Linked DNA regions of Oryzias latipes. The protein of the gene in region 1 binds, or shares a complex with, the protein of each later gene. Links are inferred from orthologs where the notes say so. Each region holds a gene or a part of one and is shown in the gene's direction. Other genes may lie near its edges.

The links.
Region 2: nsmce1 (region 1) and nsmce2 share a complex: the UniProt entries of both Homo sapiens proteins name them as parts of the SMC5-SMC6 complex. The link is inferred for Oryzias latipes from reciprocal best matches to the Homo sapiens genes NSMCE1 and NSMCE2.
Region 3: nsmce1 (region 1) and smc5 share a complex: the UniProt entries of both Homo sapiens proteins name them as parts of the SMC5-SMC6 complex. The link is inferred for Oryzias latipes from reciprocal best matches to the Homo sapiens genes NSMCE1 and SMC5.

The regions. Positions count from the first base shown.
Region 1 is NC_019859.2:37,070,588-37,074,087, reverse strand, and holds part of nsmce1 (non-structural maintenance of chromosomes element 1 homolog), read left to right. Parts: intron 1-2,966; coding exon 2,967-3,113; intron 3,114-3,500. UniProt on the Homo sapiens protein: RING-type zinc finger-containing E3 ubiquitin ligase that assembles with melanoma antigen protein (MAGE) to catalyze the direct transfer of ubiquitin from E2 ubiquitin-conjugating enzyme to a specific substrate.
Region 2 is NC_019874.2:13,948,426-13,952,485, forward strand, and holds the start of nsmce2 (E3 SUMO-protein ligase NSE2), read left to right. Parts: upstream 1-1,260; 5' UTR 1,261-1,556; coding exon 1,557-1,671; intron 1,672-1,875; coding exon 1,876-1,988; intron 1,989-2,166; coding exon 2,167-2,320; intron 2,321-4,060. Other genes in the region: washc5 (WASH complex subunit 5), read left to right, coding at 58-154, 262-415, 492-579, 724-780. UniProt on the Homo sapiens protein: E3 SUMO-protein ligase component of the SMC5-SMC6 complex, a complex involved in DNA double-strand break repair by homologous recombination. Is not be required for the stability of the complex.
Region 3 is NC_019865.2:11,201,561-11,205,823, reverse strand, and holds the start of smc5 (structural maintenance of chromosomes protein 5), read left to right. Parts: upstream 1-1,463; 5' UTR 1,464-1,517; coding exon 1,518-1,666; intron 1,667-2,613; coding exon 2,614-2,755; intron 2,756-3,783; coding exon 3,784-3,836; intron 3,837-3,991; coding exon 3,992-4,154; intron 4,155-4,233; coding exon 4,234-4,263. UniProt on the Homo sapiens protein: Core component of the SMC5-SMC6 complex, a complex involved in repair of DNA double-strand breaks by homologous recombination.

The DNA.
Region 1 (3,500 bases):
ATTTTGCAAGGAAGGTGGGACCTGGGTCCATCTGTCCCCTGCCTCTTCCCTGGTGGGGGGTGCGGGCCCCTTTGCAACGGCGGCCGTGTCCCCGGGGTGCCGGCTTCCTGGGCCCGGCGGTGCTCTCTCCGCGCGGTGGGGGAGTTCACATTACATCTGTGCCGGGGGTATCTGGTCCCTGGGGGGTGGGTTCTGGTCCTTGCTCCTGAGTGCTGGGCCCCGCCAAATTTCCAACTGTGGCCGAGCCTGGTCGGGCCATATTTATAACACCCCTTGTGGGCCCTCTTTTTTTCCCCGCGGTTCCCCCCTCCTGGGCGGGGGCGGCGGGCCCCCTGCCTCGCTCCTCCCTGGACCAACCGTGGGCCGGGCGGATGGCTGCCTGGAGTGCGGAGCGGGTCTCCCTTGGGGGGTCCTGGCTCGTACCTGGGGTTGGGGCGGGGGGATGCCCGGAACTCCTGGGTGGTGGTGGGGTGCTTGTTTGGGGCTGTGGGCGTCCTTCTCCGGTGGGGCTCTGCGTTGGGTTCTCCCGGCGCGGCGGGGGGGCTGCTCTCCTGGTTGGGCTGGGGCGGCGCTCTCTTTCCCTCCGTGCTTCCCTGGCCTCTGGCTCTGGGGGCCTTGCGGCGGCCCTGCTGGCCCTGGCCTGGGTGGCGGGCTTGGTCGACCGGGCGGCGGTTGTTCCCTGCCGGTTCCCGTGTGGCGTTGGGGGGATTCCGGCTGCCGCTGCTGCTGCGGTAGGGGTCTTGGGGTGGGGATGGCTGGGCACTCTCCCTCCTTCTTTTCACGTTCCACCATCCATTTTAGAAGAACATAAAACCTCACCTGAGCACTGGTGTTAGCTCACCTTTGCACTAATAGCTTGCATGACTGAATGACTGAAATATTTCACACTAGTTGGTTTTAAGGCATAAGTATGCGTGTGAACACTATCTGTTTTGTGTACATGTCGACAGGTGGACATTTTTGCAGCTAGCAGGTGTGTTTATAACATTTGAGTGTGTGTGTGGACGGGCCCCGCCATTTTTGTACTGCATTTGAACCTTACCATAATGATTAACAACCAGTAAACCTGTCTGCTCTATGCTGCTTCATAGTCTTATCCCCCTTCCCCTCCTATTATCACCCCCTACCGCCCCCTCTCTCTAGCGTCCCTCTCTCTTCTTCCCCTCTTTCCTTTTCCGTCCGGTCCAACACCAAAGATTTTCAGACATGATTGAAATTAATAAAGTTTGGCCTCAATTACAAAAGGGGTTTATTCAGACATACCTTTGGTTTGTCAGAAGATTAATAACCCCTCTTGTTAAAGCAAAATATGTCCAACACAAGAGGCCCTCAGCTCTCGTCTGTCTGCCCAGCTGTTGGACAGGACAAGTTAAAAAAAAAAAAAAAGAAAAAAAAAATTCACAATAAAAGCTGTAAGGTAGAAATTATGTAAATTCAAAGTTGAAGTGCTTATTAACTTCACTTAATGGAACTTATTAAAGTTGTTCAAATGAATGTGCTTCTCACATTTCCTACCTAAATAAAGATTATAAGGAAAAAAAAAATAAAAAAAATAAAGAAACGTCATGTTTCCCCCATGACACGGTTTACAGCAGAGCTGTTTTCAGAACAAAATGCCTTATCTGTTCTAATGATGTGTTACTACAAAAATAAGAATTCACACGACGAAGAAATCTCATCACAAAAATTTGTGTAGTTATTTTGGAGTTATTAGTACATAAACATAGTATTTTAGACTGAAAATACTATACAAGTCTTCAACTTTGAAGTTGGATGGATGAATGGGTGGATGGATGGATGGATGGATGCATGGATGGATTGTTGGATGGATGGATGGATGGGTGGATGGATGATGGATGGATGATTGGTTGGATGGATGGATGGATGCATGGATGGGTGGATGGATGGATGAGGGGTGGATGGATGGATGGATGGATGGATGGATGGATGGATGGATGGATGATGGATAGATGGATGGATGGATGAATGGATGGATGGATGATGGTTGGATGGATGGGTGGATGGATGGAGGGAGGGAGGGATGGATGATGGATGGATGGATGGATGGATGATGGTTGGATGGATGGGTGGATGGATGGAGGAAGGGAGGGATGGATGATGGATGGATGAATGGATGGATGGGTGGATAGGTGGATGGATGGTGGGTGGATGGATGATGGATGATGGATGGATGGATGAATGGATGGATGGATGATGGTTGGATGGATGGGTGGATGGATGGAGGGAGGGAGGGATGGATGATGGATGGATGGATGGATGGATGGATGATGGTTGGATGGATGGGTGGATGGATGGAGGAAGGGAGGGAGGGATGGATGGATGATGGATGGATGGATGGATGGATGATGGATAGATGGATGGATGGATGAATGGATGGATGGGTGGATAGGTGGATGGATGGTGGGTGGATGGATGATGGATGATGGATGGATGGATGAATGGATGGATGGGTGATGGTTGGATGGATGGGTGGATGGATGGAGGGAGGGAGGGATGGATGATGGATGGATGGATGGATGGATGGATGATGGTTGGATGGATGGATGGATGGAGGAAGGGAGGGAGGGATGGATGGATGATGGATGGATGGATGGGTGGATGGATGGATGGATGATGGCTGGATGGGTGGATGGAGGGAGGGAGGGATGGATGATGGATGGATGGATGGGTGGATGATGGATGGATGGATGGATGGGTGGATGGATGGATGGATGGATGATGGATGGATGGGTGGAGGAAGGGAGGGAGGGATGGATGGATGGATGATGGATGGGTGGATGGATGGGTGGAGGGATGGATGGGTGGGTGGATGGATGGGTGGAGGGATGGATAGAGGTTTGACATGACAGACGTCTTTAACAGACCCCCCTCCCTCATCATTTGTGTCCTGGTAGTGTTCAGCTTCTGGTAACCAAGACATTTGCTGGGACTTTGGTTCCATCCAGGTGGATCTGATTGTGTGTTCTGAGAACGGAAAGGCGTCTTCCACCGACATCCTAAACAGTACTGACACCATGACCACCAAAAAGCTGAAGAAGAGCGAGACGGAGCACCTCCTGAGCCGACTCGTGCACGACAAATGGCTGTGTGAGGTAAGCCGACAGGATCTCCACCCGCTCCCAGAAAAGGTGGAGATCTATGGATAGATGTAAGTTGTAGACCCACTCTGATGAAAATCCTGTGTTTGGTGTTTTTTACATGTTCTTTGAACCTTTTTCTGACGATGGAGGACATTTAAGATTGTAACTTCTCCAATGATTTCTAATGAACTCCTGCCACTCTGCAGAAACTATGTCCTAGGTCTGTCTTAGTTTTTTGGATTTTGGCTAAAAACCACATCATCGTTAAAAGACCACTGGGAACACTTTAAACAACAGATCAGGAAATGATCAGTGGAACATTTATCATATCAACAATGATAGAGAATGTGTGCTGACGTCACACATCCATACTTTGAAATAGTCACATGATGCAGATCT
Region 2 (4,060 bases), on another chromosome or scaffold:
GTTAAAAATGCCACATTTCACCAGTAAACAATGTTTATTTCTTTTTGGTTCAAACAGATTTACATCACCACAAAGCGTCTTCCTTACTTCCCCATCATCAACCTCCTGTTTATCATTGCTCAGCTGCCTAAACTTCAGTACAACAAAAATCAAGGTGCGTTTCACTTCTCGCTATCTTAGCTTGATGGATTGGAATCTGTGAATTTCTGTGGTGACTTTTTCTGTGTACACGCCAAGTTAAGGATTTTCTCTGTGTAAAAGGAATGACCTGCAAGAAAGCAACCGATCCTGTCGACTGGCCCCCACTAGTGCTGGGTCTGCTCACCCTGCTCAAGCAGTTCCACTCCAGATACACACAGCACTTCCTTGCTCTGCTTGGACAGTTCATCCGCTCTGTTATGGAGCAGTGCACAAGGTAACTAAAAGTTTAACATTTTGATCAAACCCATTGTTTGCAGTTTTCTTAAATTTGTCTTTTACTGGTGTCACAGCCAGAAAATCCCTGAAATGCCCTCTGATGTTGTGGGGGCCCTGATGTTCCTTGAAGACTATGTAAAATACACAAAACTGTCACGCAAGGTAAGAAAACAGTTACTTTAGAGGTGGTTTATTTTAAAGGTATCTGGAAGAAAAAGAATTGCTATGTCATGCTAAGACAGCTTGTTTTTACAAACTTGAAGGATTGTTAACATGCATTTCTTTTTATTATCTATCTGTTTTAAGGTGGTTGAAGCTCATGTACCCAGTTTCATTTTTGACGAATTCAGAACTATTTTGTGAGCCCCCGGACAAGGACATCAAACTGAAGATGCAGTCTTTGTTTGTACTGTACTTTTCTTTGTTTATATTAGTCTTGATCTAGTGGCAAAGATTTTTGTGGTAGAAGCAACAATCATTTTGCTCTAATTAATTGTTCAGAAATTAGGATGTGCTTTTTTTCCCCCCATATACATTTCATGCCCAGCCTTATAATCTGTTTCTGCAATGTTATAACAAAATGTGTTTTGTTAAAAATACATTTTTATTTCAACCAGAAAAGGCCACAATGTCAAATGTAAAAAAGCTTCAAGAAGTAGTTCATATTTCATTTTCTAGAACAATAAAGTTTTGTATTAATAAACTGTACATTTAATGCTCAATCAAAAACATTTCCATACTAATATTTTGTGGTATTGTTTATCAATAAATACAGTATAATTCTTTACTGCTCGTTGTTTTCTTTATGAATTTATTTGATGGCTTTTAGTTTGAAGAAACAAACGGAAGTGAAACTGTAACTTCCGTTCATCTCAAATGTTTACTACTTTTCTTCCTTTTCCTTCTTATTTTTTTGTTATCGTTTGATCTTTGGTTGTACTTTGAATTAAGAATAGTTACTTATCTTTTTTGTTTTTTTTTCTATTTTGAGATACATTGGCATATCTCATCTTTTCGCAAGACGGCGCGAGTATAAGGCTAGCAGTTAGCTAGCTAGCCGTTAACATAAGGAAGATATCAATAACGGTGAACACACAGTGATTTTTCTTTGGACTTTAGGGATAAAAGTTACGAACACAATGTCTCTGAGTGCTGTCAACGGCGCATTGTCCAATTTAAAATCGTGTTTGGCAGACATTGCGACGGGGATGGACATCGTGACGGACGTTGCCATAGATGTGGTGGAATCTCAGGGTAAACATTCGGAGCCTGCATCATTTTCTGCAAACGTGATCAGAAATGGGTTTTATTCTTCTAGGATCAGTTAGTATAGTGAAGCAGTCCAAGAACATGGTGTTTTATCGCAATTATGCTAAACATGTGACCAAGCTCCATTCAGCGTGCACTTATATTTTGTAATAATTGAGTTTATATTTGTGTATATTTTTTACATTTCAGATGAAGAGATGAACTCTTCCATCAAAGAGCTGGAGACCATGATCCTGGACTGTGCCAAGCTGGACAGGGAGATTAACATCTTTGTAGACATCGCAAAAGAAGTTACATCCGAGGTAACTATTATGATGAGGATCAGGTTTAAAAACAATAATTCATTTAGGTCATTTACTGCAGCGTTATCTGTCCCTATTTTTGCTTGTTTGTGCTTTGATTAGATCCGTGTTTGTAAAGCGCAGACTCATTTTTATAAGTCTAAAAAGAAATGATCTAATATGCCTCACTTTGGTGCAGGTGAATGCACAGCAACCAGAGGCCTTGTTCGGCCTTTCTGACAAAGTGAAGGAGCAGTTCTCAGAGAGAATAGCCCGACTTTCTGATGATGAAATCCACAGCCATCAGAAAGTGGCTGCCTTTAAGGACAGCATCGGGAACGCTTCAAAACAAAGTAAGGCTGTTGAATTTTTTTTTATATCTCTATAAAATAATTTCACTGATTTCTGAGGCATTGTTTGAAAGCGCATCTTACTTTTTTTATTTATTTTTTTATTTTTTAGTAATGTGGTATGTTGAATTTGAGAAGATTGTTGGTTTAATATTGTATTGTAATTAGGTAAGTGGCCACCAGAGGGCAAGCCTACAAGTTTCATTGAGTTGTAGCGCCGTGTGGTGACAGACGAAGAAGTCAGGAACCATGGTGGACAGCATCCACTGTTCAGAAAGGTTCTGTTATGCAAATGAAAAACTGTTGCACCCAGTTCAATGTGTGGGACCTTCATTTTTATATGAAGATGCAACATCTTTTTGGTGAAGAGGATTTTTAAGGAGGAGAAAAGCCCATAGACCTTAGAAAAAGAGAGAGAAAGAAAAGAAGAAAGAAGCAGCAGAAAGATACGTGGTTAACCTCCCACAGAAGTGAAGCATGGCAACAATTGGCACGCCAGCAGCGTTTGATCCAAAGACTCAAACTTGGGTTAAGTATACAGAAATACTTGAACAGTTTTTTGCGGCCAATGAAATAGACAATCAAGACAGACAAAAGGCAATGTTGATAAGTGTAGTTGGAGCACCGACCTACAGTTTATGCGAACCTCCTCAGCCCAGACAAGCCAAAAGACAAGTCCTTCAATGAGCTTGTATTACTGATGAAGAACCATTATGACCTAAAACCATTTATTCGGTGAAATCAGCTACTTCACAAATCACCATTGAAAAATTGCGACAGAGTTTCAGTGTGTTTGGTCCTCCAAAGATGTTGGTATCAGACAATGGGACATGCTTCACAAGTGCAGAATTCGAGACATTTATGAAACAAAGTGCAATAGACCATGTAAAATCCACACCTTTCCACCCATCATTTTTATATTAAGATGCAACAAGTATAAACTGCATAATTTTCCAATTTATTGACTCAAAACATTTTTCAAAATCTGTGTTTATCTTACTAGCTGCGTTTATATGGACAAAAGTAATTGGAAAGAACACCTGATCGGAAGAAAAATGTGTCATGTAAACACGCCGTTCGGAATACTCTGCCCCGATCAGACTTGTTCTGATCAAAATTTCTTTCCAATCGAGATAGGTGGGTTATGCCGATTGTTGATCGGATCGAGTGAACCGTGTCTCTGAGCAGAGAAGCCAGACTTATAGCTTTGTGTTTGAGGGGAGGAGAGGGTGCTTTGTAACGTGTGTGCTATGAGTGGGAGGCTTTGGACTGCAGCTCTAGGTGAACGAGCTGCTAAACTCAGGAGAGCCGGGTCTCCCAGTAGAACTGTGTCTTCGAGCAGAGCACACAGCGGCTTTGGGGCGGTGTGTGCTTAAAGCAGAAATGTCGCTCAGTCCTTAGAAACCGTTCAAACAATCACGTGGATTTGTGTTTCCATTCGTGTCCCGACAAAATAAAGGCTGATGTTATTCCCACATATTTACATGTAGCCAAGATGCAGATTGCGGCGTTTCCCCCATGGATTTTATGTTCATCCAAGGCTAAATGTTGTTAGCGCATGTTAGCCTTCTACTCCTAACGCTAACGTCTTCCGGGTCCGTTCTCCCAGAAAAAAAAGAGCTGACCACAAAGATTAAAAATAAATAATGAGCAAGCAGGCGCTTCATAATAATCATAACAATAATAAAAGCACGTTTAGAAGATCATCTGGCGCATGTAAACATTTATTATAATCGGAAAAAG
Region 3 (4,263 bases), on another chromosome or scaffold:
CCATGTTTTGCTTGCTTTCCTGTTGTCAGACTCATTACTACTCTCTCAACGGCAAAGCCACAAACACAGAATGAGTTATGTCTCTCTTTAAGAACGGGCATGTTCATAGGCTGCTCTGAATTCAAAACTGCTGCGAATGGTGGAGAAGTGATGAAATGGAGATTTATTTGGAAAGTCACCTGATCAAATGCAACTATTATTTATTATAGTATTTATTAAGTATAATAAATACCTCTCTAGAAACAAGTTATGTGCCACAGTCTTTTAAATATGTAGTTGTGAAACCTATTCTAAAAAAGCTCAATTTAGATCCCGGCAATCTGGCCTGCAATAGTCCAATATCAAATCTCCCCTTTATAATAAAGTAAAGAAGAAAAAAAATCTCCCCTTTGTTTCAAAAATCATAGAATGAGTGGTAGTTAAGCAGCTTTACCGCCACCTACAGGACAATAGTCAATTTGAAGATTTTCAGTCAGGGTTCAAACTACACCACAACACTGAAATTGCACTATATAGAGTCTCTAATGACTTATTATTGGCCTCAGAAAAGGAACTACTGTCTATTCTGGTCCTGTTAGACCTCAGTGCAGGCTTTGACACTATCAACCACAGTATTTTACTCCAAAGATTAGAGTATGACATAGAGATCAGAGGATTTGCCCTCCAGTGGTTTGAATCCTATTTATTCGATAGGGACCAGTTTGTTAATGTAAATGGACAGTCCTCTCATGGAACTCGAGTTAGCTACGGAGTCCCACAGGGCTCAGTTCTAGGACCCTTCCCCTTTATGCTTTATACGCTGCCCACTATTGATTGTCACTGTTATGCGGATCATACACAGTTGTATTTATTTGGAGGTAGAGCCTTTAGCCATCAAGCCCCTGTTCTATGGGATAAGCTCCCAGTTCATGTAAGAGAGGCCAACACAGTTTCTACATTCCAAGTTAGGCTTAAAACATTCCTCTTTATTTCCAGGCAAGTAATAGAGAATATTTATCTTATTATTAACATGTTTGAATTAAACTTAAAAACAACAACAATTAGTTGCTGGTGGGCTGCTCCAGATCCTGCACCACACACACTTCAAGACATAATCTGATCCCATTGCAACAACAAAAATAGTTGTCTTTTACAAATATCTTTTTAAAATTGTGTTTATTTATTAATTTAACAGGGTTAAATAAAAAATAAAAAAACAGTGCCCTTTTTTGGGGCTTGGAGGAGGTTGCACTAGTATAAAATTAATAACTGTGAGAGAGTTTGTTTAATGTAAACAGTTTAAATATGTACAGGTGTTTCTATTTAGTACAGAATGTTTCAAATACTGGTTACTTTATTTCTCAGTATAAAAGAGTAAAACATTTTTTTGGGGGGGGGTGGGGCACTGTTTAGAATCTTACGTCATCAAATGTGGACACACGTGACCTATCTTCACCAATCATCTTTCAGCTTTGCCTCGGGAAAGCGCGGCAGGGCAAACTGTTCTTCCCATCACTAGTATATCAGTGTCTGTTGACATGGCTGAGCCTAGTAAGAAGCAGCGGCTCAGCCACCATAACAACAGTTCACAGACTCCTTCCAAGGCCTTCTATAAGACCAGGGATGTCGATGAAGCTCATCCGTTTGTGGAGGGCTCCATTCTGCGCATCACCATGAAAAACTTCCTGTAAGTTCCACCTCCTTTTCACTAGTCACACTAGTTAAGCTAGCTATGCTAACGCCAAACTACCGTAAAAGCTTAGCCTCTACATTTGCTCTGACAAGCTGACATATGATATGTTTTACTGAAGCGTGTTTTGGTTTACCGATGTTGTAGAAGAGGAATAAAGTCAGTAAGCTGGGCTGTTTTTGCTCCGTTAACGTAGAACTCATCAGTTGTGTATGTTATGTATTTTAATTCTAAACGACTTCAACTTTAGAAAAATGAAAACTCTTTTGTCAGGTTCGGATATGATGTAGTCTACCAGTAATTGTTATTCTTACGTCTTTAAACTCAAATGTATTTTTTCGTCTTTTTTTAATTTACAAAATTTGGAAAATATTAAAAGCAAAGAGCCAATGTCACATTTGTGTCTGAGAGTTTGACAACCCAAAACTGAAAGTGCCAATTTAATGTCATCTGAATTATTTTCAGTGATGTTAACTGAAATCTTCCAACATCCTTAAATTGTCATAATATTCAATAAAGGGAAAAAAACATCACATGATTTGCAACAAGAATGACAGAATCTACAGAATAGATGAAAAGTGCATTAATATAGTGTAAAACACAGTTCTCTACACTTCATTGCATTTCTGCATCATCTTTGAACAGTATTAGAAAATGTGAGATTCAGTCTTCAGTAACATTCAGTGTACTAGTGTCAAGCATGAGTTTTACAGTTCCACAAACCACATAAACAGGTTTCTACGAGTACCTTTATGTATGTTTATTGTGTTAAAATCGCGTTGTGTGTCACTGTGCTTTAATCTTCTTCTCGTATCATTAATTTAATTGAATTGTTGAAAAACAGATAAAACCCGTAATGTTGATGTTTTTTGTTTGAAGAATTAAAGTGTGACTTTCCTGCATGTGGCTGGAAAATGACCGGTGTCTTCGCTGTACTTTGGCAGGACCTATGACTACTCTGTGGTGTGTCCTGGACCAAATCTGAACATGATTGTTGGTGCAAATGGAACTGGCAAGTCCAGCATTGTTTGTGCCATCTGTCTGGGCCTGGCTGGAAAGACCGCTGTTCTGGGGAGAGGAGATAAGGTAAATGTACTGTTGGGATTTATTTAGTTGAAGTGTGTTGATGAGATTCTCTATAAAAGATCAGAGTAACTGGTAGATTTTGACAGAAGCCTTAACCTTGAACAGTTCAGCAATGTTGCATCCCATGACTCACTTAAACTTTGGCCAAATATTTACTTGTTGTGAGGAAACTGATCATTCTAAACAGGACTGTAGATAAAAATAAGGTTAAGGTCGTACCCTTCAGTTTGCTGCACACAGAAACGAATGAATAATGACTCAGAGACAAAACTTATCTTTTGTGGAAGTTTTACTTCGTACAAACACGAAGGGGACAGACAGATGAATATAGTGCATTCAAAGTCTGAACACCGAAGCTCAGAGAGATGGTCTTGGTATAAGAACCCTGCATTTGCATATTCAGAAGATCATACACTGGACAGTGGTGTGAAAATCACGGCCACAGGTTGTTGCAGGCGAGATGCTCGAAGGTCAAGAAGCTTCAAGTGTCACAAACAGCACAAACACCAGCACACACAAAAAGGAAAAAGGGAGGATGAGGAATGCTATGAGAAAACAGTCTTGGTTGTGCTTTCTTCAAATGTAATATAATTTTGAGATGATAATACATGCTTAGTGACTTAAGTTTAAACCATTAGTGTAATAAAAGTTAAAGGCAGTTTCTAACTATTCTTCACACTTGTCCTTATCAATTAAATATGCTTCCAACTTATGTTTGTTATAGATTTTAAGTTCACTCAAATACAACAGGGACATTACAGAAATAAAACGAAATGGCACATAGACGTTTTTTACCCCTTATTTTGAGTTCAATGATACAAACAAAGCAAAAACATGTACCGGTAGGACAAACCTAAACCTATAAATCACTTAACAAACAAGGGGGTGTTGCAATGTTCAATACACAGAAAAGGACAAAAAGGGAAAAAAGGAGAGAAAAAAGCACAGAAATGTATACATTTTTGGAAAAAAGTTAGAATTGCTGCAAGGACTTTAAACAGGTTTGACTTCCTTTACCTTTTTTTCAGGTTGGGCTTTATGTGAAGCGTGGCTGCCATAAAGGGTCCATTGAGATTGAATTGTAAGTTATGTGAAATAATTTCCACAAAGTCACTCATTCTTTTAAAAACAGACATTTCAGCCACAGTTGTTTTATAGAAAAAGCTTACAGCTCCTTAACATTGGTGCCCTTAAACATACTTATTTTTTGTAACTGTCTCTGTTCTGTTGTTGAAGGTACAAAACAGGAGGTAACATAGTCATTAACAGGGAGATCCATGTGGAAAATAATCAGTCCCTTTGGATGCTGAATGGGAAACACTGCAACCAGAAAACGGTAGAAGAGGAGGTCAAGGCTCTGCAAATTCAAGTCGGCAACCTCTGCCAGTTTCTTCCTCAGGTATGTGTTTGTGAAAGTGCCAAGGGTTTAATAGACAGAAAACTGCTCAAGTTCCTTCATGTTGTGTTTTTCCCAACAGGAAAAAGTTGGTGAGTTTGCCAAAATGTCT